Linked DNA regions of Diceros bicornis minor. The protein of the gene in region 2 purifies or fractionates together with the protein of the main gene of each other region. This does not show direct contact. Links are inferred from orthologs where the notes say so. Each region holds a gene or a part of one and is shown on either strand. Other genes may lie near its edges. The genes, in order: SNRNP200, FUS, CTR9 and HNRNPM.

Region 1 (6,884 bases), on a different chromosome or scaffold from region 2:
CCACCTCCTGCAATAGCCTCCCAGCCACACTCCCTGTGTCTGGTTCTGTTCCCCACCCCCTTCCATCTTACACAGCACTGTGAAAATCACCTTCCTGAAGCCCACCTCTGTGAGGAAGCCCCTGTACAGGGTCTGGAATGGGATGGCCTGGCTTTGAGGCTGGTGAGGCCAGGCAAGTCAGTTATCTTCCCTGCCCCCTCCTCACTGCCCATTTTCCCTACGTAATGCCTCAAGATTCTGTAATCCTTGAAGATGGGTTTTTGAGACATTAGTCACCCGTCTTCCAATTTGCCGGCTAATCTAATCTAATTTGACTTCCTTTCTCCATCTCTAACTTGTTGTGATTAATTGGCTCAGACTGCAGCTAGCAGAGCAATCCCGTTGCTTGGTAACAATAGGGCTTTATGAGGATTAAATAAAATAATGTATGCTAAGGTGGTAGCTTGCAAATGCTTGCCACATGATAAACAGTCAGTTTTTGCTTAATCTAAATGTTGGTCCCTCTAATCAAATACCTGCTGTAAAGCTGCAACAAACAAGCAAAACCCTCCAAACCAGACACCTGCTGTGGCTTCTTATTGTCTCCTAGGATAAAGTAAAAACTCTTTACAATGGCATTATTTTTTCAAGAGATTCTAAACATATCTATCCAAATTATATCACGTTGTTCCATTCCTACCATTTGCCCTGCACTCAGCTGAACTGAGCTCTTAACAGTTCCTGGGACATGCTTCTGTCTTCCCACCTTCATGCTTTTGCTTTTTCTGTATCCCCCTGAAATCTCCCCCACCCTCTGCCTCTACTGAAATCCTAGCCAGCCTTTACATTACACCTGCAAAGCCTCACCTGGTCTCCTGAGTCAGCAGTGACTTCTCTGATCTCCACAGTGCCCCCTTGTGGCACTGACAGCATTCTGCTTTTTAATAGCAGTTATTTGTATGTTTCATTTCTCCTGCAAGACTGTAACTTCTCAGGGGTTCTAATTGGGTCTTGTTTCTCTCTGACTCTCTAAAATTGCTCACTGAGTTTAGTGCACATATAAATATTTGAGAGGTAACTAAATGAAGTGACAGGTGTTAAGGTACAGAAATTCAGGGTCCAGGAGCCTGAGTAACCCTGGGTCCAGGTCTGGGGCTAGGGAGGACTGAATTCTGAAGGTCATCTTTTGGAGAGAGGCAGCGCAAGGGGGCACACGTAGACCGGAACAAAGCTAAAGCTGAGCCCAACTTGGTAGGTAACTAAAGTTCCCCCAGGGATCTGTGCCTGTCAGGGTGCTCCCAGGTCCTTCCCCTTCCTGGGGATAATTCTGTTTAAAAATTTTTTTAATAACTTTACTGAGATATAATTTACGTACCATACAATTCTTCCATTTAAAATGTACAGTTCAATGATTTTTTTTTTTTTTTTGCTGAGGAAGACTGGCCCTGGGCTAACATCCGTGCCCATCTTCCTCCACTTTATATGGGATGCCGCCACAGAATGGCTTGACAAGCGGTGCATCGATGCGCGCCCAGGATCCAAACCCCGGGCCGCCGCAGCAGAGCACACGCACTTAAACACTACGCCACCGGGCCGCCCAGGGAATTTTCCTTTTTTCCCTGCTTCACAGATTTGCCCACGGCCCAGGCTTGACTGTGAACACGAGTACCACTCCTACAGAACTGCAGAGCAGAAATCCCTTTTGTGTCTGGTGGGTGAACCACAGCATGGCCACGGAATGAAAGTCAGTCTTGAGGGTTCAGATTTAAATAAGCTTCAGTGAGCCCCACCTTGAATTAGACACTTCATTGGTGCTTTTAAACACACCACCACATTTAATCACAACAGTCCTATGAGGAAAATCTTATTGCCTCAATTTTAAGGATGACAGAATGACGCTCAGCCAGAGAGACCAATGAGCTACCTCAAAGTCACACAGTCACTGAGGAGCAGAGCTGCCACAAGGACTTGACTGCCCCTTGAAGGCCCAGTTAGATATACAACAACACAGTCAGGGCTGCAAACGCCACGCCTACAGGGGCCAGGCAGGTAACACCAAGGAGTGAAGGGGCCTGGTATCAGAAAATAGGAGCAGTGGCAGGGGCATGTGTATCCTCTAAGAGTGGCAGTTTCTGATTAGCACGGAGCAAGTACGCCAGGTAGTAATGAGGTTCTCATGTGGCCAGTGTTCTGATTTCTCCATAGATGCTGGAAATCTAGATGTTGAGTGAACCATCCCATTTTTAAATAAGGAGCCAAGCTGGAACAAAAATAAATAAATAAAAAACACCCCTGCAGGTCAAATTTGGCCCAGGAGACTGCTATTGAGGATGAATTCTTTGGCTTAATAACCAACCTCCCTTTCATTCAACTTTCAAAAGCAAACAGGCTATTAATAAGGTAACCATTCAGCTTTTAGTTGCCATTCCACAGGCGAAAAGTGGTTGACTGGGGTTGGCCCGGTGGCCTAATGGTTCAGTTTGCTGGCACTCTGCTTCGGTGGCTTGGGGTTCACCGGTTCAGATCCTGGGCGTGGACCTATGCACTGCTCATCAAGTTGTGCTGTGGCAGCGTCCCACATACAAAATGGAGGAAGATTGGCACAGATGTTAGCTCAGAGCCAATCTTCTTCACAAAAAAAAAAAAAGGTTGATTGGAGTGGGAGGGCAGGGGTGCCTCCTGGCCCCAGGGCTCTGTCGCTGGGGAAGAAATTAAGTCACTATCAATTAAGTCACTGTCTTCAAGAAGTTGGGCCTGCCAGAAGGGTGGCTACCTTCACCAAAGTTCCTGGGGCCATGGAGGGGGCCGTGAATGTGGCAAGACCTTGGGAGCAAATAGGGGGCCCCGGCCGTCCCAAAACAAGGGTCTTGAAAGCATGCGCTTTAGGTGGGACAGGTAGGGGACAGAGTTTTCTTTAAATTGTTAAATATATGAGAAACCCACAGGAAGATACCAGTCATTCTTGCTCTCTCTCTCTCTCTCTCACACACACACACACAGTTAAAGCACTTGCTGGTGCTTTGCTTTCCTCATCCAGAAATGGGGCTAATCAGCCCCTCCTTGCCTGCGTAGCTCACCGTTAGTAGAGTCAGAGGAAGAAGTGGGTAGAAAAGCGCTCGGGATAGAATAGGGGGCTAAGTAGGCCTATGGTTCATTGTGACAAGAGATTTTCACATATCGAGGTATATGGGGTTAACTTTGGGTTCAAAACTGATTTGGCTGGAACCAAAGAAGCCTGACTTGTGGCCTATCACACACACTTTGTACATCTGCTTTAAGCTTTAAAGAACGCACTCTCACGATAACAATGCGTACTTCCCCTCCCAGGCCCTGGTAACGCAGGTGTTACAGGTGTTAGTCCCTTTCCTGACATCAGGGTCCTGTCCACCCGCTACTTTGCAACTGACTTCTTTGAAACTTTGATAAATATGTACCCTTGGGGTTGTTTAATGTATGTTCTTTGTCTCAAAACGTACTGAAAACCATGCTTGTCCAGGACGCTTTCTTCCTTTGTAGAAAAGGCCTCCTGGGGTTATCATCCTCACGCTGGCTCAAGTAAAACTCCCCTTACTTCTCCTATACATAATAAGGTTATTGGCTATTTTGCATTGACAGTTACGATGTGACTATGCTCCCGGGGGCCAAAGTGCCCAGCGTGGCCAGAAACACACTGACACGATGCGGGGGGGTGGGGGTGCGCGGTCGGCTGCCCCAGGATTCAGGGACCTTGGTGCGACAGCCCCGCCGACCCCGCTCAGAAGGCCGCGGGGAACTGTCGCGCGCTCGCTGAGACACGCCCCGCCCACACTTCCGGCGCGCGACCCGGAAGCGGAAGGGAGCCCGTTTTTTCCCTCCTTCCGGTGCGTGTGTGCTGCGTCCGTCCGGCCCGGCAGGAGCGTAGAGCCGGAGCGGTTTGTAGCGTGCGGCGGGGAGAGTGGAGCTCTGAGACCCCGGAGCAGCCGCCGCCATGGCGGATGTGACCGCCCGTAGCCTGCAGTACGAGTACAAGGCGGTGCGTGTGGGCTCGGGGAGGACTCCGGTTAGGGAGCCCAGCGGGCAGCGGGAGGCTGAGGGAGTCTCAGTCTGAAGGCCTACAGGAGAACCGCCAAAGCGGAGGGGAAATCAGATCGGGCCGAAGCGGGGGTACACGAGGTGGGGGTGTATGAGTAACCCCGCCGGGGTCTGGGGCGGGCGGGATGGGCTAAGAGCTCTGCTAGCAGTGTTTGTTCCCTGTCCCCTCAGCCTTATACCCGCCCACTTCCACACGTCACCCCCAACATGCTCGCCGCTTTTCCCAGCTATGGGTTGTTATGGGCAGTGTTAGCAGCGAGGATCGTTCAGCTGATTTGACTGCCCTTTGCTCATGCGCGATTATACGATGCTATTTCTTCTTAAGGAAGACATCTTTTTATTCCGGCTAGTGATTATCAGCACTTAGTGGCTCCGATTCTTGCTTCTTTTGTTATCATCAGCTGGCATCCTTGTGATGTGTGAATTGTCCCTGCTTATGTCAGAGCTTCGATAATCTTGTGATCTTTTCAGAACTCGAATCTTGTCCTCCAAGCTGACCGCTCTCTCATTGACCGGACCCGCCGGGATGAACCCACAGGAGAGGTGCTGTCCCTGGTGGGGAAGCTGGAGGGCACCCGGATGGGAGATAAGGCTCAACGGACCAAACCACAGATGCAGGAGGAAAGAAGAGCCAAGTGAGTACCAAGGGGAAAATGACTCTTCTTCAGATCCAAAGTCCATCTTCCCTTGAGCATTTGAGCAGTGTTTTGCTTGGTGCAAGAGGAGACATCAGTGGCATTAAAACAACTGAGTAAAGGTACAAACAGAACATGAGATTTAAAAGGTTCTTTGGCTTTATCAAGCGTACCTAAAGTGGAAAACAACTTTTAGACCTTTTTCTAACATGTGTTTCTGGTCCACAGAGACATCTTAATTTTCTTCCCGATATTTTCAAGACCCTTGCTGTTCCTTTGTCTCAGTAACTCTTTTTTTCTTCAATTACTAATTTCCCACCCCTACTTCTTTCCTCTCCTGTTATCCACTTTCTACTTTTGTTATTAAACTGACATTAAAGCATCCATAGCGTGAATGACAGGTGGGTTTTTTTGTTTGCTTTTTTTAACTTTTTGGGAGATTTATTTCAAAACTTAATTTTTGAACTTTATCTCACCATTATCTTTTGATTCTGATCATCTCTGTGTCTTCCTCCTTTCCCATGATGAAGTCTCAAAAATTTGTAGGCACAATTTTGATTAAAGTAGTTATGTTTGAAATGAGTTAATACATCATTTGTTGTCCACTTTGCAGAGTATGACTTCTTTTCCAGTTTTGTTATAATTTGTTGGGAATCAATGGTAGTAGATTCCTTTGGAGCTTCAGTTTCTCTGGCTAGAAAATGTGTCAAGAGTGAAAAACTAATCAAAATCCGATTGTATAATATTGTCATATGAAGTAAAAAGAGTTGTCTTTTTTATTTTTATTTTGTTTATTTATTTATTTTTAATTTTTATTTATTTATTTTTTACCCCAAAGCCCCAGTAGATAGTTGTATGTCATAGCTGCACAGCCTTCTAGTTGCTGTATGTGGGACGCGGCCTCAGCATGGCCGGAGAAGCGGTGTGTCGGTGTGCGCCTGGGATCCGAACCCGGGTCGCCAGCAGCGGAGCGCACGCACTTAACCACCAAGCCACGGGGCTGGCCCTACTTATTTTTTTTTTATTGAGGTAACATTGGTAAGGGTTGTCTTTTTTATTTTTATTTTGTTTGTTATTTATTTTTTTTATTGAGGTAACATTGGTAAGGGTTGTCTTTTTTAAATGAATGAGGAAGATGTCTCATTGTAATGTATAGTGCATCTAGTGAGAGAATGACAGAGGATTCCCTTTCTGTTACTGTGTTTCCATTAAAAAATACTCCTGCTAGTGACTAAGGCCAAAGGGAGTTATTTGCTGAGGTACAGATTCATGTTTTTAAATGCTACCTGTGTGCCATGAAGCTGAGAAGAAGAGGAGAATGGGCTTGATTTCGTCTTACCTTTGGGACAGAAGGTTCTGTCTGTTCAACATCACACTATGTGTCCATTAGGCGAAGAAAGCGTGATGAGGACCGTCATGACATCAACAAGATGAAGGGTTATACTCTGCTCTCGGAGGGCATTGATGAGATGGTGGGCATCATCTATAAGCCCAAGACTAAAGAGACCCGAGAGACCTATGAGGTGCTGCTCAGTTTCATCCAGGCTGCCCTCGGGGACCAGGTGAGACAGCCAGAGGGTGAAACCACGTTTTTGGAGAGGGAGAGAGTCACAACTGGGAGGCACCGGAAGAGCCTTGTCTGTGGATTTTCCTGTGTGAGCCATACCCATTTGCAGAAGTGGCTGTTTACTGAGCACTTAACTTTATGTGGGGTAGAGCTTTGTGTGTCTCCTCTCTTTCAGTCTTCACATCAGCTCTGTGACTAGGTGCTATTAATATTCATTTTCTGTTTTACAGAAGAAAAATGTGAGGCAAAGAATAGTTAAGTAATTTTCCCAAGTCACAGACGTAGTATTTGGCAGAGCTGGGATGTGAGCCCAGGTAGTCTGTACCCAGAATCTGTGCTCTTAACCATTATACATGTGTAATTAGATTAAGGACCTTTATGAATCTCTGAGAGGCTCTGGTGAGGGGGATGCTAGAGGAGGTGAGGACAAAGAATTGCCAAAAGTTGACAGACTAGAAGAAGACTGCGGAGTGTCTCTACCACCTGGAGAAATGTGGCCGACTGTTGTGGAAGCTGTGTCCTTCTGCTTCCTAAGACCACCTACCTAGTCTTTTTTAAAACAGAAGGCTCGTTCTTCAATGGTGTGACTCTTGGTGGCATTTTTTATTAACATGAATGAAGATGGTCAGAAC
Region 2 (7,686 bases):
GGTACGTCCCATTGTCTGTACCCAAGAAAGACCACCCCCCTCCCCATTACTCCTCATGATTGCTCCTATTGCTGGTCACATTATCATTCCTTATCAATTCACCCTTAATCTTTCAGGCCTCTCCCCACAACTCCTTACCTTCCCGAGGTGCTGCTAGGAGCCGGTTGCTGGCCATAGCCAGGGTAGGAGGACTGCTGCCCGTAAGACGACTGAGAACTCTGGCTACTACCATAGCCACCAGCTGAGCCATATCCTTGGGGAGCTGACTGAGTTCCATAGCCTGCTATAAGGAAAAGAGAAAGGAAACCACAAAAGCTATGTAGAAAGAGAAAAGGCAGGGAATGGGTTGAAGAAAATATTATTTACTATCTAATGCTACCCATACTTGAAAAGTTCGCCTCTCAGAAGCTGCTTAGAATCTTGCAATTCATAAAGTTACCCTTCTCTTCTACCTAAGGCTAATGTTCCAACTTCTATCAACTTTGGACTTCCGATCTCACCATACCCACCCCAAAGCGAGTCTCCAGGACCACGCACGACTAATCACAGCCCAAAAGATCCCTACTCATTAACAGCATTTTAACCTGCTCAGATGTGTGCAGTACACATAGAACCCACATTATTTACACTGCAAGACCTCAGGGCAAATTCCACCTCCTTGTGTATCACATGATATTTGGTAGTGTGACTTCAAACATCTTCAAGCAAATCATTTTCTCCCTGTAAGCACCAAAAATCTAAAACTTTCTCCCCTTAGGGAATACTCTCCCCCACGTTTCACTTTCACGCTAAAGGGAAATGGGGAAAAGGGCAGCATTAAAAGAAAAATAAGGACTCAAGAAAATAAAGAGAATTACAAACCAGTATGCATTTTTGTTTGAAAGGACTCAGACTCCAAAGAGTTTTAAGAGTTACAGACCAGTTAAGGGAAAAGAAACACAGGACAGTTCCAACATTTCAGCATTGCTCAGGTTTAAGAAAAGCAACATTCAGGAGGAGAAGGAAGGGGGGGGGTGACCCACTAAAAGAGACTCACTGTTCTGGGTCTGTCCATAAGAAGAACCATAGCTGCTCTGGCCATAGCCTGAAGTGTCTGCTGACTGACCGTAACCACTGTAACTCTGCTGTCCATAGGGCTGACTGCTCTGCTGGGAGTAGCCTTGCCCAGGCTGGGTGGGGTAGGCCCCATAGCTGAAGAAACAGAAACAGTGTAATTAGGAAAAGATACCCTAGCCACCCTTGACCTCTACAAACCCCGAAAGCCCAGAAATGACTCTCACCTTTGGGTTGCTTGTTGGGTATAATCTGCAAAAAGAAAAATACAATTATTTTTTTCAAAAAAAGAAAGCAACAATAATACAATTACATTACCTTCAGCCATCCCTGAAAAAACAATAGGGCAAAATTCCTCAATTTAAGCCCTGGGGCCTCCAGGTAAGAAATCAACCAACAAGACCATGTTGCAAGAAGGGCAGAAATTCTCTCCTGAAACACTAGTTGAGAGGAGGGGCAAGCTGGCAGATCAGAGTCAAGTTTTCGTACTTGACTCTGAAAAAGAGTCAAAGAAAAAGCAAATTTCTGCAGACACCAAGAGGCCTTAACTACTACTGGAAAAAAACAAGAATCTTGGTGGACATCTACAATTTTCTGCAAACTCAACTGATGTCAGGAATGGCACAAATTCACACACATTTCAGTTTCACACCCACTCTATGAAGAAAGTATCACCAAGAATCAAGCTAAAGTCCCAGAGCTACTTAAGTGGGACAGGTTTTAACTCAAGCTGGAGGCAGCAGTGTTCGAAATGTGGCCTCCACTCTCGCAATCGAGACCCAAAGAACAGAATGTCTCAAACTTCTTCACCCTCTGCCTAATCTTGAAAAGCGGCAAAGTGGGCTTTCAGTGCAAAGCCAGGTAACCAAGAGAAAAGAGCCCTCGGACCACAAATGACAAATCATCAAAGTGCTCGCCCCAGGAGGCAGCAGTTAACTGGTCCTCGAGTCCTCAGCCCTGCGGCTCCAATCCCCTCTCCTCATCTACCCTGCCTTCCTCGGAGCTGTGAGGAGACAGCAAACCAAATGCAGCGGGAGTGCTTTTAAAACGCCACACTGAGGACGCACTAACCAGATCAACGCATCCCCTGAGTACAGGAAACCAGGCGCTTCCCCCGCAGGAAAGGGCCAGAGGACCGGGAGAGGGTGTGGCCTCGGGCAGCCGTTCTTTCGGTTCCCACCTCAGAAAGAGGAAATTTAGGCGGGAAAATCCTCGGGCCGAGTCCCCAACCCCGTTAGACGCCCCCACAGCCGTTAAGCGGGCGCGCGGCCCCGATCCCGAGCCTCCGCCCGCGGCCGCGTGGCAACCGAGGCGGGAACCCGGCGGTCCCGCCCCTTCCCGAGGGACCCCGGCGGGCGAGGCCCACACCGGACGCGCAGCGCAGAGTCGCCAGCGGAGGGTCTCGCGACAAAAAGCAGCGCCAACACGAGGCGGGAGGGAGTTCGGGCCGCGAGAAAGGGGGGAGGGGCCAGCAGAGCGCGTGCGCGCACCGAGTGCCCGGATGCAGCACTGCGACAAAGCGGGCCCGAACGCCGGGCTAGGACCGAAGGGAAAAAACGGCTACGGGGACGGAGCATTTCCGTCCGTGTCTCACGTATCAAATCACCCAGAAGCGTCCCTCTCGACCCTCACCTCCAGTAAAGGCACTGCGAAGGCAAGACCTCCTGCCCCGCGCAAGGCGCCGGAGGAGCGAAACAAAATGGCGACATCAGCCTCCCCTTTCCACCCCTCTCTGTTGCTTCCCGCCACCGTGGTGCGAGAAGACCCTACACGCGATCACTGCCCGGGTCCCACCGAAAAACAAAAGCCCAGCTGGGAGAGAACGAGGCCCCGGGCCGGCGCGCCACCGCCGCCTCGTGCCTTTACATACCGTTTGAGGCCATGTCCGCGCACGCGCGCACAGGCCAACAAGCAACAAGATTCCAACACCACGGAGCACCGACGCCTCGAGGACTGACCAGCCCCGCCTCCTGCGTCGAGGTTTATGTACGCCTCCCGCCTACGTACCGCGGAGGAATGCACCAAGTGCGGCTAGGAAAAGGGGGAAGCATGGCTGGAGTCCTACCACTCTTCAGGGAGTATACAGGGTCTGAGCAGGCAGAAGGGAAACATATTAACTGAGAATCATGAAAATAATATATAAAATCATGTTTTCTCTGATAAAGAACTGGGATTCACTCTGCAGGACTAGCCTGCTATTCACCTCTACCCCTATAAAGGCATAATGGTACGGTCTCATTACCCTCTGGGGGCGGGGCGAGGGGCCCAGGGCGTCTGCGGACCCAACTGTAGTCAAAGCTGGGAGGCGCCAGGCGGGAACCGAAATTCCTCTGGCTGGACCCTTTCACTGGGCCCCACTTTCACTCCGGATGGCGAGATCCTGCGCTCCGTTGCCCTCGCAGTACACAGGACGTGTCGTCCTTCCGGCCGCCAAGCTCCCTTTCTGGCTCTAAAGTTCCTCCCCCGACAACACACACCGACCCTCTCTCTCTCTCTCTCTCCCTGGGCCTTGGTTTTCACTTCATAGTCTTTCAGGGTCTCATTTCCTTAGTCCATACCAGGGTTTGTAAATCGTGACGTCTGACCTGAAAGAAAGCATGGAGTTTAGCCCAGATCCCTGGATCCTCGTCTGGCCCAGCACTGATCGCCCTCCCAAACCCTCGTGACTTTGACCCTGACTGGCGATGGAAGGGGAAAGCCCAGGCCCTCTGGACCTCAGAGAGCGTTGAGATTAGGTTAGGGGTCTCCTAGCCTTTTACAGATAAGGAGCTACTTTTTATTGTTCTAAAGCACTACCAAGGAACCAATATGGAGATCCAGTAATAACTATTTGCATATGGCTTAAGTGGTTTCAAAATGCATAATTAATTGCTTTCCCATCACAATCTTTTAAGGAAAGGAAATGTATCTCTTTTATAGATAAGAGAAGTGAGACTCAGAGAGGCCAAGTGCAACCCATGATTATAGAGCAGCTGAGGGTCAGATCTGATTCGAATCCAGGTCTGTGTGGCTGCAAAACACTCCTTTTGTTGGTTATATGAACACCTGGCAGTGTTCTGAAGCCTGTTCACTCCCTGTGAGAGCGAGGACAAAAAGTGGAGTTCAAATTAACTTGCAACTTGCAGTCTAATCAGCCTTGCCTGGAGAAGGCAATTTGAGAGTATTGAATAAAACAAGACAAAGGAGGTTATTCCTGGTACACATGCCATGCAGATTTTCTTTCCCAACTTAACTTTGACCTCGGTTCCAGTAGTTCCTTTGTAGGTTTGACATGTTTTCCTAGAGAAACAATTAAGGTCTAGGCCCTAGGCCTGCCCACAAACTTCTACTAAACCCCTGATGGCCCTTGAATACCCTGTCACTCGCCCCACCCTCATTGGGAGGGCAGTGTGACTGTGGAGTGAGGGCAAAGGGAAGTCCATCATTCCTTCATTCATTCATTCTACAAATATTTATTAAGCACCTGTAGTGTACCAGGCACTGTTCTGGGCACTGAGGATGCATTAGTGTGCAAAACAGACATCTGAAGGAACTTAATAACAAAGCTAACTTTTTGTGTGTGTGTGTGAGGAAGATTACCCCTGAGCTAACATCCGATGCCAATCCTCCTCTTTTTGTGCTGAGGAAGACTGGCCCTGGGCCAACATTCGTGCCCATCTTCGTCTACTTTATATGGGACGCCGCCACAGCATGGTTTGACAAGCAGTGCGTCGGTGCATGCCCGGAATCCGAACCTGGGAACCCCGGGCCGCCAAAGCAGATCACGTGCACTTAACCACTGCGCCACCGGGCCGGCCCCCAAAACTAACACTTAATAATGATATTTATATGTTATATATAACACATTTATAATAGCTTAACACTTTGATAAGGCTTACTAAGTATAAAGCAGTGTTCTGAGTCTTTGATCATAACTTACAATAGGCACAGAAAGATCATAAGCTATCCCCAGGGCTACACAGAAAGCAGCAAAGCCAGAGTCCCAACCCAGGCAGCCTGGCTCAGAGTTCCTGCTCTTGACCCCTGTGCTTCAGCAAACATTGCTTGAGCACTGCATAGTGTGTGCCAAGCATGGGGCAGACGTAGAGAGAGGAGGATAAAAAAGATCCAGTCCCTGAACCGCAGGACCTTATAGCCAGTGGATGAGATGTGAGTGAGACACACGGACCCCAAAGTATGTTTGAATCAAATGTGGTGAGTGCTGTGACATGGAATCAAGGAATCTGGGAACTCTGTGAGGAGAGCAAGTCATCCATTAAGTAGACAACCACAGAAGAGGAAGGAGAGATGGTGACACTGAAGCAGCCCTTGCAGGATAAGTAATAGTTCACCAAGTGGTGAGAGAGGGAAGGTGTAACAGGTGGAAGGAATGGCAAAGACAAAGGCAGGGGTAGGGAAAGGCACTCATGGGCAGAGTGCAGGGAGTGACAGGTTTATACTGTGACCTCATCAAGTGACCGTTTCTCCAGGCTTATCTCTCTCAGTGGACCTCTCCTGAGTCACATCACACAGGGACCTCTCACTTCACCTTAAAAGTCTCCTTACTTGACATCCCTGCTCCCAGCCCTCGCACCTTTCCCACTGTCCCTCTGTCTCCTTCCCCTGCAGTGTCCTCCTCTGCTCACCCTACAGACAGCAGGGCCCTCCAGAGTTCTGTCTTCAGCCTTCTTCGCTTCTCCCTCAAGACCCAAAGCCCCAACTATGACCTGGTGTAAGATGCAGCCTGCAGACAGGTTTTGTGTAGCCAGCACGTTGTTTTTAATTAACTAGTTGCCAATACTAAATATAGGGGAAAAATCCAAACTTCTGGCTTTTCTTGAAAATTAGAGGCTCTGGCCACCCTGGGCCTACTTTTCCAGAGGGCAGGGGTCAGCTGGAGCAGGAGGCTGCTGGGGCATGTGCTTGCAGCTTGCCACAGTCTCCCTCACTCCCTAATGTTTCTCTAGTGGGAGAGTGTCGATTGTCATTTATATCAGGAGTTGAATGCAGTTTTTCTTCGAGTTAAAAGCAAGAGAAAATATTTCTTGTCTTCAAATGTAGGAAAACAAAGCAGGCCCTGGTTTTCAGGCCTCCAGCTGGCCCTTGAAGGCATTCAGATTTGTGATCTGTTCCCAGATCATGGATCCTTAACCTCTTTTTGTATCAGAGTTTAATGATAATGTGGACCCCTTCTTAGAATAATATTTGTAAATGCATAAAACAAACTTTGTAAGAATACAAAGAAATCCAATGGAAATAGTTATCAACTATTTCTTAAAAAGATCTTTGTGATCCAGTACACAGATCTGATAGTGTAATAACTATCTTAATTTTTTTCTGTTTTCTAATAGTTTTTTTTTTCCTTTTTTCCATAGCTATCTTAATTTTGAAGTAGAGTGGAATAAAAAAATGTTTTCAGGTACCTACAACAAGTGCAATGTGGTACAATTTCTAAGATTTCTGTCAGTGACCAAGACCCAGAAACTGTTGTGATTTATTGCCTACAGTCATCATATTGAGAAAAATGCTAGATGTCAATTGGCAGTTAGTGAAAATTGCCATGTAATGTTTCCCTGTCCAAATCTGTGACCCCCTGACTGCTATCCTCAGACCCCTAGTGGGGACTCCAGGTTAAAGACTCTAGACAGTCTAATCTCATCCACATCATGCCTTCAGCTCCTGGATGCGTACACCCAGCCATGACCCTCCTGAGTTCCAGGCCTGTCTCTGGATCATCTCCAGCCCAATTTTGTCAAGCAGATGCATTACATGAGATTGGAGGCAGCAACTATTGGTGGAAAATTCACATGTTCTGGCCAGCATAGCAGCCCAAGCCTTTGGTTCTTCATGGGTAACTTTGGTGGAGGTTATAACATCCTTAGTATCATTAACATCAATGGACTGAGGCAACAGCACTGGAATTTCCATTAGAAAAGTACCAAGGGCCCGCCCCATGGCTTGGTGGTTAAGTGCGCGCGCTCCGCTACCGAACCCGGGCGCGCGCCGACGCACTGCTTGTCCGGCCATGCTGGGGCTGCATCCCACATACAGCAGCTGGAGGGATGTGCAACTGTGACATGCAGCTGTCTACTGGGGCTTCGGGGAAAAAAAGGAGGAGGATTGGCAATAGATGTTAGCTCAGAGCCAGTCTTCCTCAGCAAAAAGAGGAGGATTGGCATGGATGTTGGCTCCAGGCTGGTCTTCATCACAAAAAAACAAAGAAAGAAAGAAAGTACCAAGGTGTTGTTGGACCCTTGGCCTGGTATGTATTACTGGCTGGGAAGCATCCAAGCTTGACTCTTGACCATCTCAGAAATTTGGTAACCACCTATCATAATCCCTTTCTGCTTAAACTATCTAAAGTGGATCATTGCCATTGCAGCACTGCCTATATATCAAAACATTAGAAACTGCCTAAGTGCCCATCAAGAGAGGGTCTGGTTGACTTAATTATTATACAGCAAGGTTTCTCAATCTCAGCACTTTTGGCATTTGGGGCCAGTTAATTCCTTTTTTTTTTTTTTTTTGGTGAGGAAGATTAGCCCTGAGCTAACATCCATTGCTAATCCTCTTTTTCCTGAGGAAGATTGGCCCTGAGCTAACATCTGTGCCCATCTTCCTCTATTTTATATGTGGGACGCCTGGCACAGCATG
Region 3 (7,683 bases), on a different chromosome or scaffold from region 2:
CATTATAGGTGAATTTTATCTAATAAAGTTGTTAAAAATAATTATAATCACTTACAAATGTTTCTAGCTTACTTCTTACCCAGATAATAATTAATTTCAAACTAAATCAGAGCTCAAGAGAGAGAAAGCAATAATGAGAGGTATAAATAATTCTGAACAGAAAACTTGGGTTCTAGATGTATCAAAAATTATCTATGACTTTGGGCCTGTGGAATAACTTCCCTGGACATCAGTTTCATTTATTAACAATCAAAGAAATATCTATCATTTATTAACCACCTACTATGGGCCACATACTATGCCAGGAACTTCATATACATTATCTCTAATCTGTACAACCACCCTTGAAGTGAATACTAACACCCCTCTATTTAGATGAGGAAACAGGCTCAGAAGGCAGATCATTTGTCTAAGGTCACACAGCTAGCAGCCAAGTTGGAATTTGAGAAAAGGCCTCTTGAATTGCAAAGTCTACACTCTTTCCTCTGTAACAATCTATAGCCCTCATGTTTCATCAATTTATTTTACCACAGGTGCCATGCTAATCCTCCAATACTCCAATTTTCATATAAGTGCTACCAAAGGAGGCACTTGTACTAAAAAAAAATCTAAGTTCTCTTCTGGTTTGAAAAAAATGTGTGACAAGCATGAATGGCTTGTTCCCCATAGATTAGGAAAACTTAGCACTTCAAGTCAGGAAGGCACTGCTTGTCACTGACAGTACTTTTCTGCAAATCCACATCTAAGAAACTCTTCGAGTTGGGCTTGAGCACTGGATACTAGCCCAATTTCAGGCCTACTTCTCTGACCCTTCAAGACAATACTAGGAGCCTCCTATGTATCCTTCCATGGAAGTGACCTGTGGTACACTTGCTTAGGAATAATGATTATAGTACCATATACTACTGCAAGCATTTACTATAATGTTCCCATAAAAAGGAAACATCATTACACAGCTGGTGCTGGGGATGGTGGAGGGTGTTAGAATTTTAGGCTCTCTGAGGTGCTTTTCCTGGGAATCTCTAGTAGTGTTTATGTTACGGAAGGGACCAAACAGGACAAAAAAAACTTAATCTCGCGATAAACTTCATCCAGAAGCACTTCTGTGGGTTATCGTGGAACCTAATCACCTTCTAGAGTATTTTACGGGAAATGTTTTATTGTCATAGGAAACAATGTCAAGTGGCAATGTTTACATCGTGGCACCTTGTTTTTTCTCAGCTTATCTATAAACCATAAGCCAGTCCTCACTGAGTAGTCACTAAATAATCAAATACTCAATATAGTATTTAACTTAAATGAATTTTGCCTTTACCAACATCTACTAATTTACCAGTGGAGTAGCACATCATTTAGGAAACTGGCCTTTTCATTCCATAAACAGTGATACAATTAACTTCCATACACATGGTACAATTAATTTACTTATCATGCACCCCAGGTGGCCAGTAGCGTATCTGAAAACAGAAACCACATATTTTTCCCAGTCAACATATAAAAACATTTGTTATATGGACACTGACCGCCAAAGCAATCCATATGTGCAGCTGTGTATGTTCCTGTTTCAGAATACTGATAACTTCATCTCCCTCCGGTAACTGATCGAAGTCAAGTTCAATGACCTAAAACACAAAATGTAGGTTTTAACTTAGTTCTTTTTTAAATTCACATTTCTTCTTTGCTGCTTTTCTTGACTATACATCACTACAGATACGTGCAGGGTTTGTATTCACTTTCAACCCGGCTGAGCAAGAATATGTTAAGAAACGTTTAAGGAGCAAACGACAAATAGGTTATGTGGCATTACTAAAATAAAAGCACACAGAAGCAAACAAATCCTGCTAGTTGTCCTCGAATCACTAGAACTATAAAACACTGCAAAAGCTCTGCTTACTCAAACACAACATAACAAAACCCTGCTTAACATATAATGCAGGTAAAGTGCAGATAAGCACCCCAGAGACTCGGAGGCTAGGTCTGACAACTTGAGAAGCACCATCCTAGCAGCAATGCAAAGTTGAATGGCACTGCATACATGAATCATGGAGGCAGCATTTGTGTATCACAGACACTCCTAAATGTGGGCACAAAGATAATAGTAAGAAAATGTTCTGGAATTAGACAGTGGTGATGGTTACACAACTTTGTGAATATTACTAAAGACCACTGGATTTTACGGCAAGTGAATTATATCTCAATATTATATCTCAATCAAACAAAAATAAGAGTATGAGACATCCAGCAGCAATACATCAATGTTCAGAGCTTTACTCGGACAAGCCTCAGGCCACCATGAACGAGGTGGCGGGCAGGGAGAGGGGGGCTCATTTTATCAGCACACAGCAGCGGCCAGATCTTGGGGTCTCTATGCCGCTGATGGGGCCTTGTGTGGCAGACCCTGTGCATGACAGACTCGAGTTTTTAAGGGAGAAAGGGCGACATCCTATATATTCCCAGGGAAAGACAGAGCAGCAGAGAGCCCACGGTGACATCAGCGCCCACCTCTGCGACCTGCGAGGTGCTTTACAGTTATCCAGCACTCTCACACCCCTGCGCCCGCGAATCAGGAAAGCGCAGACTACTGTCAGATACGAACAGGCTGGAGGAGAACTTTCAAGAACTCCTTCTCGAGGTGCCCCGAGGCTGCGGGGAGGCGGTGCTCCCAGCCGGGGAGGGCACAGGGGCTGGGGAAGGAGGCGATCAGAGCTTCGGCCGGAGATTTCGATCCGGACTCCGCGGGCAGAGGGTGCGCCCGCTTCGGAGACGAAGTCGAGAGAAAGGGGAGGAGGAGATCGTCCAAGTTCACGGCCCCTGCCCTCCCCCATACTCGACACTCACCTCGTCAGTGTCCCGGAGGGGAATCTCGATGGAGCCCCGCGACATGATGAGACCAGAGGACGAGCGGGTGTCTCGCCCCGCCGCTCCGCAGCCGGTCCTCCTGGCTTCTGGCTCCTCCAGACGCTGCCAGCCGCTCGGGCTCCGGTGGCGACTGCGGCCCCGCGGCGCCGCCGGAGCTCCGGCTTCTCCTTTCCGTCAGCCGCTTAAACAACGAGCAGCCTTCGCCGTCCGGCCACTTCCGGCAGCCCCGCCCCCTGCCCCGGAAGTACTCCCCGCTGGGGGCCTGCGGGCTCCGGCTCGGCTCTGGTGTTTCTCTGTCTTGGGGATGACGGCTCCGAGGCTTTCGTTGGCGTGTCTACCGCTCCGTGGGCCTGCGGCTTCTGGATCTGAGCCCGGCACCGGCGCGGTCCGGAATAAATGCGCCGAAGGCGGGCCGCCCCGCTCTGAGGGGGACGGGGCGACGAATGAGGCGCGGGTTCGGGGCTGGCCACGGACTGACGTGGGGCCTCTGGCCAATTCCGGCAGTCCTCTCCTCCGAGCCCGACTCCGCCCCCGAGCCCGGACCTGGCCTCTCGGGGTGGGCTGGCCAATCTGGTCTTCTTGTCAAGATTGCTGCGGATAATCCAATCGTTCTTCAACCCAATCATTGGTTCCTGTTTAGCAGCTGTTGTGTGCGAATCATACCTGTGCTACTTTTGTGATCCGTTTAAATAAACGTTACTATGAATTCTGTAATCATTGTGATAGGTCATGTATTTTGTGTGGTTTTATTTTTTTCTTTGAAGCATGTGAGAATCTGCTAGATTTGTGATTTTAACAAAATTGTTGAAGAATTTGATTAAACCTGTAATCAATGTTTTGGTTAAATTATAGAATTTGATTAAATACGTTTTAATTACTGTTTTCATTAAATTACAGAATACAATTAAATTAGTTTGCAATCAATGTTTTGATTGAATCAGAGGAGGATCTGATTAAATAAATTTGTAAACAGTGTCAGTTTTACCTCTAAGTGTCTCTCAGATGTATTCCTTCTCTTCATCTCCACCACCTCCATTCTATCCCAAGCCAACATCGTTCTTTCCTGCCTGGATTACTGCAACAGCCTCCTGTTTTACTCAATACATCATCCACTCTGGCCCCAAACTCCAACTTGGCTTCAACATGTTACACACTCACCTTTAAAAAGTACCAATTTGATGTTGCCTTTCCTCCCACCTTCTTCAAAACCCTATAAGTGGAAACTTAGTTGTGTAACTATTTCAACGTTGGGCGCTTTGCCGTCCAATACAAACATAATGCTAGTTGCCTAATTTAAAATTTTGTAGTAGCTGCATTAAAAAAGTAAAAAGTAGATGAAATTAATTTTAGTATTATATTTTGTTTAACCCAATATATCCAAAGTATTTCAACATGTAATCAATATGAAAATTGAGAGAATTTACATTTTTTTCATACTTTGTCTTGGAAATCTAGTATGTACTTTCTGCTTACATACTTAATTCAGTTGCTTAATTTTAATTGGACATACTCTAGGATCTCTATTTAGATTTCAGAAAACTTACAGTTGAAAAAATAGATTCACATACTTGGATTTTTCCAAACACACGTAAAAGTTTTCCAATAACTGAACTATTGGTCTTAAATTTTAAATTAATTTAAATAAAATTTAAAATTCAATTCCTCAGTTGCATTAGCCATATTTCAAGTGCTCAATAACCTCAAGTATTTAGTGGATACTGTATTGGACAGCACAGCACTGTATTTCCAGGAAATACTCTTTAATACGTTTTAAGGTTTATAAGTGAGCATTAAACAAAAGTACACATCATGCTAAGTGTTACTCTCATGCCCAGAGCCTCCCTGGCCTTAAAGACCCTAGCGATACATGTGAATTAGTCGTTCAGTTACCGGCAGCCAAAGGCATCCTAACTGTTAATGCAGAACACTGTGATTGAATAATAGGAGGACCCAATTTAGACTGGGATTTGGAGGAAATGACACTTAAGTTGAAACTTGGAAGATGAGTAAAATTTGGCTAGATAAAGGCTATAGGGAGTGTCTACCAGACTGAGGGGATAGCACACTGAGGAAAAGCTTTGTGAACCTGAAAGAAGGCCGTGTGGCTGGAACGTAAAAAATGAGGAGGAGAATAGCATGAGTTGAGGCTGAAGACATAAGTAGTCAAATCATGCCCAGATTTATCCATGTAAAGCAAAACTGGCACCTTACCCTGCTTCCAAAATGAGTAAGTGTACACATCGCATTCCACAGTTAAAGGAAAAACAAAACACTTCACGCACTGAGGTAAACCAAAAAAGAACAGTGTCACATCAGCTATAGTCTCCAAAGTGAATGAAACCTTCAGCATTTCCCACATTACTGACTCCCTAACAAAAACAATTTAATCGCTGACTTTTATGAGTTTGAAGATATGCAATAATTTGGGGGAATATGGCAATCATAGAAGAAAATTTCTCTTTTTCCATCATGAACCAACTAACTATAAACCTTATAACTTCGAGTTGTGTGTTTGATGAACTAGTTCTTTTAAAGCCTAAATTCACTTATAAACTTTTGCAAGGTTTTTTTTTTTTGAGGAGGAGGCTTGGCCCTGAGCTAATATCTGTTGCCAATCTTCCTCTTTTTCTTTTTTCTCCCTAAAGCGCCAGTACATAGTTGTATATCCTTGTTGTAGATTCTTCTAGTTCTTCTATGTGGGATGCTGCCTCAGCATGGCTTGATGAGAGGTTAGTAGGTCCACGCCCAGGATCTGAACAGGCAAACCTCAGGCTGCCGAAGCGGAACGAGTGAACTTAACCACTAGGCCACCGGGCCAGCCCCTGCAAGTGTTTTTCTAAGGAAACTATTTTTCTAAATGCTTTTGTCTCTGAGACTTCTTTTGACACAGGATGTGTTGAGGAGTTTGGATTTTATCTTAGGTGCAATGAAACTGAGAAGTTTGAGCTGACGTGTATGTATCAATGAGTATGTGTATGTGAGAGAGAGAGAGAATTGGTTTTGTGGTTTTAAAAGATTGTTCTGGCTACATTGTGGAGAATAGATTGGGCAGTGTTTGAGAGGATGTGGGCAGACCACTTAGGAAACTACTGGAGAGATATACAGAATATCTATATAGATATAGAGTATATAGAATATATAGGGATATGTAGAATATGTCTCCACCTCCACTACCTTAAATATATATATATATAATCTTAATCACTAGGGCTCGCTAATGCATTAAATATGGGCAGCATTGAAAAAGTAGTGTCTAGAAGAACTTCCAGGTTTTGCGTGAACAACTGTGTGAATGAAGTGTCATTTTCCAAGATAGGAATGACTAGTGGAGAAGAACATTCGGGCAAGGGTAGGTCGTGAGCTGGGTTTTCAGATGTGTTGTTTGCCCTGTCTCTGGTATCTCTGAGACAGATATCAGACAGGCAGTCAGACATACAGATCTGGAGCTCGGAAGACAGTTTCTGAGCTGGAGAAATAAGTCTGAGAGCCGCCGGCATATAGATGAAATTTAAAACTGTGGGATCAGATGAGAGACTCTAGAGAGAGCATAGAGTGACAAGAGAAGGGCCAGGACCAAGTTCTGAGGAATTCTAGCACACAGCAGGCAGGCAGGGAAGAGAGTCTGCAAGGAATCAGAGGACGGGTCGGAGAGAAAATCACCTGGCAACAATTGGGACTTAAAGTGCAACTCTCGACACAGGCAGTTTTTTGTTTTCCCCTGACTCCAGTAGATACTGATTAAATCAGACATTTTTAAGCTGTAGATCCAGTTTTGCAGCACAAAGATTTTATTTCAGCTGGCACGAGTGTGCAATGTCTGTTCACAAAATGCCCTGCTCCATGTTGGGTCGGAGTGCACCAGATCAACGTAAAGCAGTGAGTGTGTATTTGGTCAGTGTGGATTTTTTTTTTTTTAAGATTTATTTTTATTTATTTATTTTCACCCCAAAGCCCCCAGTAGATAGTTGTATGTCATAGCTGCACATCCTTCTAGTTGCTGTATGTGGGACGCGGCCTCAGCATGGCCGGAGAAGCGGTGCGTCTGTGTGCGCCCGGGATCCGAACCGGGGCTGCCAGCAGCGGAGCGCGCACACTTAACCACTAAGCCACGGGGCAGGCCCCTGGTCAGTGTGGATTTTAAGTGTGTATTCAAAATAGATAGCCAAGATTCTTTACTTTTCTGTTGTTGATATTGTGGTCAGTCATAGAGTTGATAAATACATACATTTAGCTCACTGAAGAATGAACTATTTTATATGTTGATAAAATATGCTAATTATTAAAATTGAATAAAGAATATTTAATTTTAACAAAGAATATTTGAGATGTTAAATTAGATATCTTTTATCAGGAGCAAAGGGAAGTGTTTTAAGTAGTTTGTATACATTATTAAGAAAAAGTAGGAAGCTGTATCAATAAGCCAGGGCAACCATAACAAAGTACCACAGACTGGGTGGCTTAAACAACAGAAATTTATTTTCTCGCAAGTCTGGAGGCTCGAAGTCTGAGATCAAGGTGTTAGCAGAGTTGGTTTCTTCCGAGACCTCTTTCCTCAGCTTGCAGACGGCCCTCTTCTCCCTATGTCTTCACGTGGTCTTCCCTCAGTGTGTGTCTGTGTTCTAATTTCCTCTTGTGAGGATACCAGTCATATTGGATTAGGACCCACCCTAATGACCTCATTTTAACTTAATCACCTCTTTTAAGATTCTATCCCTAAATACAGTCACATTCTGTGGTACTGGTGGTTAGGACTACAATATATGAATTTTGAGAGGACACAATTCAGCCCTTCACAGCACCTGTCAATAAGTCTTTGCAGGTGAA
Region 4 (7,526 bases), on a different chromosome or scaffold from region 2:
AAATCATTGCAAAGCACAGAGATTCTGATTTAAATAAAACACTTCAAGTGACTGTTTAGTGAGAGGTTACCAGGGTGGCAGTGGAGTCAACACAGCCTCCCCCAGACTCTGGGTCAATTTCCTTAACCTGACTTTTCTCAATTGTTTAAAAAAAAAATTTCTCAGTTATAAAACAGAGTTAACACTAACATTACCTCCCCGGCAACCTACACTAAATATAAATTTTTATTTTTAAACTAACTAATCCATCTCTGTTTTCTGATTCAGCCACAAGATTAGTTTGGAAGTAGGTTACATCACTGATTTTAAGTATATGGTTCAACCTTTAAAAAAAAAAAAAAATCAAACCTGAAACTATATATTCCCCAGAATGAATGCTTTTTCTCCCTGACTAAATATACTCTAACTCTGAATCTTGACTGACTTTAAATGGAACAGATTTCTCATCAAAATAAAACAAATCCTCCTCTCACACCCCGGAGAAAAGTCACTGCAAAACAAGCTTCCTCTCTGGGGTCCTCCATCAAGCCTGCAGGCTCACTGCCTTTTCAGCTTACAGCACACTCCACTCCTGGTGGAGACAAAGGTCAGAAGAACCAAGTTTCACTCACTTTCCATCCCTCAGAGGCTTTCAAGATAAAAATCTAAATTCCTCAGCCTGGAATCCACTGCCCACCAGCCGGCCCCCGGCCCCCACTGTTTCAGCGTTGGCCCTCACTGTTCCAGCGTTAAGTGCTACAGCAGCATCAGTTCTCTATAAATATGCAAAGCATATACCAAAGTCCCTAGTCGTGGGCAGCTCTCTTCTCCCCTCTCCACAATCATCCTCTTTCATCCCCCTCCTCCTGAAGAAACCCCCTCTTCCCCACCCTGCCCCCAGGGGGTTCAGTTGTGGGGAGGGGAGCTGCTCCCTACCAGGTAACTCCTTTACTTCTATCACAGCATAATTACCTCACTACAAAATTATCAGCTGGCCTCTCCTCTGGGCATGGGCTTGATTCTCAAGAGCTTCCTAATGCAAAAAAAAAAAAAATACACAAAGTTTCCACCGACCCTATGAAATACATCTAAGTGTTGCTAGCTTCCTGAAAGAACTTCTGTTAAGCAGCCCTAGACTCTAAGGTTCTTTCCAACAAGAGCTATTTTATCTCTAAAACCTTCAGGTTCTTTCTAACGGTCCACGTGTCACATTTGTCAAATAAACCCGTCACAAAATGACTATTTGAAAATGGACAGTGGAAAATGGGAAATTTGAAAAACATACCCCAGATGCTACAAACTATAGCTAATTCAACTTCTCACCTAGCACGTTTTAGCAGCACTCCATCCTGTGATAACTGCTTTGAAAGAAAAAATACAGGAAATAAATGTAACTTAAAGGCATCCAAAAACGGCCCTCAGAAATCCTCCTAGGCTCCCCTAGACAGATGATGAAAAAAGTCTAAACGAAGGCATCCTTTTCCAGAGTTTTCGAGAGTCAAGTGCTGGGAATACTTCTGGGATGCCATTCTTTTGATTTCCGAGGACCAGGAATCATGGTATTTTGTTCCTCCCCACCTAAGGAGAGAAGGTTTGACAACAACACAGCTAGTCACCTAGCGAAAGCTCGGTAACATAAAGCGCTTTAACTACATTCACTTCTAATCCCCACAAACTCTAGGGATGCACATTAGAAATTTGTGGGAAAGCATATTCATAAGAGACATAACGAATAACAGAAGTATCCAGGAGCTGGTGACAGGGGGAAATCGGAAGTTACTGTTTAATGGCTGCAGTCTGAGATGATGAAAAAGTTCTGGACATGGACAGGGGTGATGGTCGCACAACACTGAACGCACTTAATGCCGCTGAACCGTACCCTTAAAAATGGTTTTAAAACTGTAAATGTTATGTTCCACATACGTTACCACAATTAAAAAAAAAAAATTAGTGGGAAATCACGTGTGCCCAGCCTCCCCCTCTCCTCCCCCCACGGGTGCCGGTGGGAGCCCAAACGTCCCTCCGCATCTTCCTTCCAGGTGACTGTCATCAGAACGAGTGCGGACACAAGACGATGCTCTAAAGCTTTGAGGACACTTGAACAGCCAAGGAGCAGAGACGGAGGCCCAAGCAAGGCTCGAAATGGTGACGGAGCCTGGAAGTGGGCGAGCCCGCCTGAGGATGGAAAATCTCCCCCGGGAACACGGAAAATGCTGTTTCTCTGCTTTTTTTCTCCTCCTCTTTGTTTGGGGGAGCGCAGGTCCGATCCCTGCACAGACACCTCCCGCGCACCTGGGGAGCCGGCGGGGGCCTCGCGCGCGGCCCCGGCGTGGAGCGGTTCCGGCCGGGCCGGGCGGGGCGGGGGAGGGGAGGGGACGCGGGGGCGCTCCGGCCGGCCTCGCGGTCCTGCCCGGCTCCCACCCGCCTCCGCCGCCGTTTACCGGGCCGAGCACGCGCGAGGCCCCGCGCGCGCCCTCGCTTCCCTTCCCTTCCCCCCAGTTTACGGGGCGGGAAACTGAGGCCCCGGGCGATACGGGGGGCGGGGGGTGAAACCACGCGCCCAAGGTCACCCGACAGGCCAGCGGCCCGGGGCGTCGGGCCTCTCCGGCTCCGGGGCCCGTGCCATCAGCCCCGAGCGCAGAGGCCGGGCCCGAGGCCTCGGCGTGGGGCTCGGACCCGGCCTGGAGGGACCCGCGGAGCTGGGCCAGGGCCGAGGAGGACGGAGGGAGCGAGCCTTGCGGCGCCCCCGGGCCCCTCGGCGGCCCCGGCCGCCCCCACCCCGGGCAGGCCCCGCGGGAAAGGCCCGGGCTGAGGCCGCGCCGGGGGGAGGCCTCCAACAGACCTAACGGCGCCGCCGCGAAGGCGGCCGGCCCGGGACGCGGAGCCGTGGGATACTCACCCCTTCGGGCCCGGAGCCCCGTTGCCGCTCGGCACGCCGGGCGCGCCGCTCTCCTCCTCCATTTTGGGCTCTGTCGCCGCCACCTCGGCCGCCGCTTCGACCCCTGCCGCCATTTTCTCCGCGTCTGGGCTTTGTGTGAGGGAGCCGGCTGCGCAGCACTGCGCCTGCGCACTCACGTGACCCGGCGCGACCAGTAACGCCTGCGCGCGCCGCGGCCTGCTCCCGCCTGGTCCCCGCCCGCCCCGGGCCACGCCCCCGTCGCGCGCAGGCGCAGACCGGCCGCTGTTATCCATTCATCCCCGCAACAAACTCGTGTTGGGCGCCTTCTGAATACTCCACCGGTTCTTGAGGTTTGGCACGGGAAGGATCTACTGACCCCACACCCGGACCTCGTCACTCCCAGTTTTCGGTAATCAGAGCTGCGGCAGAGGGGCAGAAAGTTCTGTTTACTAAGAATATAAAGGAGTTAGCCAGGCAGGAGGGCAGGACGCGGACGGGCCAGGCAGTGGAACTGGTGTGCAAAATTCTGTCTCTCTAAGCAAGTATCCTGCACCAGGAATATCTGGGCTCTGTCCGACCTGGCTCCCCACCACCCCGGGACCTCCTGGGTGCAGATCCCATGGCCTCTGAACCCATCAACCAACAAGCAAAACGCATCGCTGGGGTCTTGGTATGCGCTCACGGATGTTTCTTGAGTGAATGAAGCAGCAAGATCCAAACACGATGGAAGAAACGAGCTACAGGCCAACTGATCCCATTAAAACTTAACTGGGCCTCCTTCCTGCCTGATCCTGGCTGGGTCCCTTTGCCTAAGGGCTTGGCTCTGTCCCCAGACTGGTTTTAAGGACTGTTACAGGCTGTGTCCTGGGGCAGCCACGTGGCCTGGAAAGAGGCCAGAGCCCAGGGGCGCGTTCTGAGGCCTCAGGCTCCCTTCCCCAGCAGCAGCCCCTCTCTCTGATGTCTCTGGAACTTTGAAATGCTTCACCGAATCTTGCAGAAGTTCCCATCTAACCACCAAACTCGCTCTAGGCTTACAAAGGGAAAGAGGTACCCCCCCCCCACCCCTCAAAGAATGACTACATTTCATCAGGCTCTGGGGGAATATTCACCACACTCTCCCAGCTGCTTCATTCTGCCTGGTGATTCTGACCCAGGGTTGAGAACTCCAGGCCCAGAGAATAAATCCATCCCGTAGTCCAGCCTGACATGAAGGCTGTGCCCCACCCTCTTTCCAGCTCCGTTCCCACATTTCCAGCTCTTCCCAAACTCACCTGCCTCCCAGAATTCCCTTCTCTCGCCCATCGTCAAGCCCCTCCCTCCTCCCATGCCCCCTCCTGAAATCTCTGTTAAAATCGCCCTTGCATACCTATTAAAATCTTCTCCCATGGCCCCAATGGAATCTGTCTCAGTTTACCTTCCTCCCCGTTAGACCTCTCCTAGACTGGAGGGGCCCTGAGGCAGAAGGAGCCTCATGAACTTCTGAATTCCCTCGCCCAGCAGGGCTCAGAAGTGGCGGAAGAGGCCACGGCAGTCTGTCAGAATCAGGGAGGAGTCCCAATGCAAAGCGTTAGGGACAAGAAGCCACCTCTCTCTCTGATCCCTCCTCCCTCGGTGGGTGTGACAGGAGGTCAGGGACAATCAGGCCCTGGTTGTGGAGACCAACTCTTCCAGGCTAGGCTCCTACAGGCTGGTTGACTTAAACCAACAGTGCCCAGATCCTGGGTTCTGCTATCTCTTGAACTGTTATTTCCTTCACACTTCACATTTTCCTTTAACTGACACACCTTCTTATCCTTTAAAGACGCATGTTTTAATATTGTGTTTTACATTGCATGTAAATATATGCAAATATATGTAAATTGAGTATATGAAAACTTGCTATAAACAGCTAACTGTAAAAAATAAATAAGAAGATGATGCTATTCAAGTGTGAATTCAGTTGTGCATGCTGCCAAAGGCTCTGAGCCTGAGGCTTGTTCTCTCCTCCCTTAGGTTAAGGGTCATTTAAGACAGTCTAGCCCAACCTACAACTTTCTCCTTGATGTAATTGAAAGTATTAGAAGAGATTTGCAAAGGAAACAGCTCTTTTCACAATGGCATGTCCTGGGGCCTCTTTGCATCACCTCCAGGGGCACCACAATCCAAAATTGGCCTGAGAGAGGTGGGTGCTGGGCCTGTGTAGAGAGAGAAGATGCAGATGCCAGAAGGGCCCCTGAGCGCCAGCAGAGCGATTGCGCTTGGATAAGGTCCTGGGTTTCTGCAGACCCCAGATGCCTACAAAGCCCTGCTCGTCTTTCTAACTGCCTCTCTCCTGCCCCTCAGTCTCGCTGCTCCAGCAATCACGTCTGCCACACTGCTCCTCCTACAGGCCACACAAGTTCCAGCCTCCAGGCCTGTGCCCTTTACTGTTCCCTCCATTCCCGTGGCCAGGCTGGCTGCCTCTGGCCCTTCTACGCTGGGGTGGAAAGGGTTTTTTTACTCCGTGGGTGAACCACATACCAGACAGGGCTTCATGCTGAAAACAATAGAACATTCCAGACACTGTGCTAGGTCCGTCAGGGAGGTGTGATCTTGGGTGAGCGACCCCACTGCTCTGAGCCTCAGTTTGCTTATGTGCAAATGGGATTAATAAGAGAAGTCCAGAACCCACCTTTCAGGGCTGCTCTGAGTATGAAATGCGGCCCAATGCAGAGAACCCTTCCACGTGAAAAGCTCAGAAAGTGCTCAAGAAGTACATGTGGTTATTAGCACAACCATATTCTGCTGCTTTTCCTGAGTCCTCCTGGAAGGCAAGCTTAGAGCTCAGCACTAGGCCCACGAAGACCCAAGGTCAACCCCAACTCTCCTTCCTAGAGCTGTGCAACCTTAGACAGAGGCTTCCTTGCTCTGGGCCCCAGTCTTCTCATCCGTAAAATGGAGGCAGCAGCCATTCCTCCCCTCAAGGATGGTCTAAAAGGCAGAGAGAGGATGCCTGTGCAGGCTCAGAACTGAGGAACCCTCGAGAAGTGTGGACGTTAGTGATTAGTAAGTACACCAGCGTGGCATCTGGAGATGCAAAGTAAGTGGAAACTGTTCTCCTTATGCATAGCGATTTTAAACCATTTATTATATAACCCTGCTACCTGCTTTTCACTTGAAAACTCAGACTTTGCTTCTTCCGGTGTGTTTCATAACAGATCCCTCAAAACCAGCAGAGGGCCTCTGTTGTTGTTTTTTTCACCTGTTTGTGGTCCCCGGCTGCCCTGGGGTCCCAGGTCCCTCACTTGAGGCCTTGGTTCAGAAACGTAACTGACAAGTCCGTTTTGTCCAGCAAGGGCTCCTTTTATTCATTCGGGGTGGGTTTTTGAAACACGGTGCAACTTGATGAAGTCAAGGGTGCCGGGAAAGCGAGCCTGCCAGGTGTGGAGAAGCGCAAGAAGCTTGTGGAACCTTCCGGCCCGATGGACACCCTCGGCTCGCCCATGGCCACAGCTGCTGGCCCCGGAGGGGCCGAGTGGACCTCAGAATGAGATCAGGGTGCCTGATCCGTCCGAAGCTCAGGACCACGTCCACCTCCTCGGGTACAACCGTGTGCAAAACAGTCTGAAAGTATCTTCACACGGGATCACAGAATCGGCTCTGCTCGGTGTCTCTTGGCCTAAAAAGCGTTCTGGCCGTGCAGGAAGAGTCGGGCAGTTTCCGTCCCTCCAAACGCCAGGGCATCGCCAGCTGCCGCTGGCCCTGCCAGCCTGGCCTTCACACAGGCGTCTCCTCTGCCACCTTCTTCAGGAGTCCGGCTGCCAGCAGGGAGGGCTGGGGGCCCTCGGGGCCATCCACATCCTGGATCTTCAGGCGCACTTTCTGGTTGGTCCTTCTCCACTCGGAGTACAGTTGGCAATGGTAGCGGAAGGAGACCTGCGGGGCAGCAGCACAGGGGTGGGTGCGAAGGCCAGCCGGCCGACCTCCACCCCCAAGAGAGGAAAACTGGGCCCCTGGATGCTTCCAGAAGCAGAGCCAACGTCCAGGCCCTTCTCATACAGACTGTGCACACGCACCCATCACTGTCCTGGGGCAGCTCCCACCAGCACTCGGGGCCCTGCAAAGGTGAGGGGGTCTACAGCAGGGAGCAAGGGACCCCCTTTCTGTCTCTCAGAGGGCGGGAGTGAAGCAACGCAGCCCCTCAGAAGGGGCTCATTGTCAATGGGTCACATCATTGCCAATACGTGGAAGCCACCAAGATGTCCTTCAGTCGGCGAATGGATAAATAAACTGAGGGACACCCAGACAGTGGAATATTAGTCAGTGCTAAGGAGAAATGAGCTCTCAAGCCATGAAAAGGCATGGAGGAAGCTTAAATGCATATCACTAAGTGAAAGAAGCTGCTCTGAAAAGGCTACGTAATGGATGATTCCAACCCTGTGACATTCTGGAAAAGGCAGAACTATGGAGACAGTAAAAAAATTGGTGGCTGCCAGGGGCTGGGGGAGGGAGGGATAAATAGGCAGAGAGCCAAAGATTTTTAGTACAGTGAAACCGCTCTGTATGATACTATAATGGTGGACACATGTCATTACACACTTGTCCAAACCCATAGAATGTACAGCACCAAGAATGACCCCTCATGTCAACTGTGGACTCTGGGTGATGATGACGTGTCCATGTAGGTTCA

Evidence for each region.
Region 1: the proteins of FUS (region 2) and SNRNP200 purify together in Homo sapiens (affinity purification with mass spectrometry; 3 studies listed by BioGRID and IntAct, with this or other methods). This does not show direct contact. The link is inferred for Diceros bicornis minor from reciprocal best matches to the Homo sapiens genes FUS and SNRNP200.
Region 3: the proteins of FUS (region 2) and CTR9 purify together in Homo sapiens (affinity purification with mass spectrometry; 3 studies listed by BioGRID and IntAct, with this or other methods). This does not show direct contact. The link is inferred for Diceros bicornis minor from reciprocal best matches to the Homo sapiens genes FUS and CTR9.
Region 4: the proteins of FUS (region 2) and HNRNPM purify together in Homo sapiens (affinity purification with mass spectrometry; 4 studies listed by BioGRID and IntAct, with this or other methods). This does not show direct contact. The link is inferred for Diceros bicornis minor from reciprocal best matches to the Homo sapiens genes FUS and HNRNPM.

What each region holds. Positions count from the first base shown.
Region 1 is NC_080779.1:16,207,439-16,214,322, forward strand, and holds the start of SNRNP200 (U5 small nuclear ribonucleoprotein 200 kDa helicase), read left to right. Parts: upstream 1-3,866; 5' UTR 3,867-3,946; coding exon 3,947-3,991; intron 3,992-4,521; coding exon 4,522-4,685; intron 4,686-6,075; coding exon 6,076-6,247; intron 6,248-6,884. UniProt on the Homo sapiens protein: Catalyzes the ATP-dependent unwinding of U4/U6 RNA duplices, an essential step in the assembly of a catalytically active spliceosome. Plays a role in pre-mRNA splicing as a core component of precatalytic, catalytic and postcatalytic spliceosomal complexes.
Region 2 is NC_080765.1:20,888,115-20,895,800, forward strand, and holds the start of FUS (RNA-binding protein FUS), read right to left. Parts: upstream 3,004-7,686; 5' UTR 2,937-3,003; coding exon 2,924-2,936; intron 1,306-2,923; coding exon 1,281-1,305; intron 1,192-1,280; coding exon 1,037-1,191; intron 284-1,036; coding exon 139-283; intron 1-138. UniProt on the Homo sapiens protein: DNA/RNA-binding protein that plays a role in various cellular processes such as transcription regulation, RNA splicing, RNA transport, DNA repair and damage response. Binds to ssRNA containing the consensus sequence 5'-AGGUAA-3'.
Region 3 is NC_080746.1:69,242,669-69,250,351, reverse strand, and holds the start of CTR9 (RNA polymerase-associated protein CTR9 homolog), read right to left. Parts: upstream 3,009-7,683; 5' UTR 2,884-3,008; coding exon 2,839-2,883; intron 1,623-2,838; coding exon 1,524-1,622; intron 1-1,523. UniProt on the Homo sapiens protein: Component of the PAF1 complex (PAF1C) which has multiple functions during transcription by RNA polymerase II and is implicated in regulation of development and maintenance of embryonic stem cell pluripotency.
Region 4 is NW_026691615.1:283,842-291,367, forward strand, and holds the start of HNRNPM (heterogeneous nuclear ribonucleoprotein M), read right to left. Parts: upstream 3,013-7,526; 5' UTR 2,992-3,012; coding exon 2,879-2,991; intron 1-2,878. Other genes in the region: E3 ubiquitin-protein ligase MARCHF2, read right to left, coding at 6,614-6,772. UniProt on the Homo sapiens protein: Pre-mRNA binding protein in vivo, binds avidly to poly(G) and poly(U) RNA homopolymers in vitro. Involved in splicing.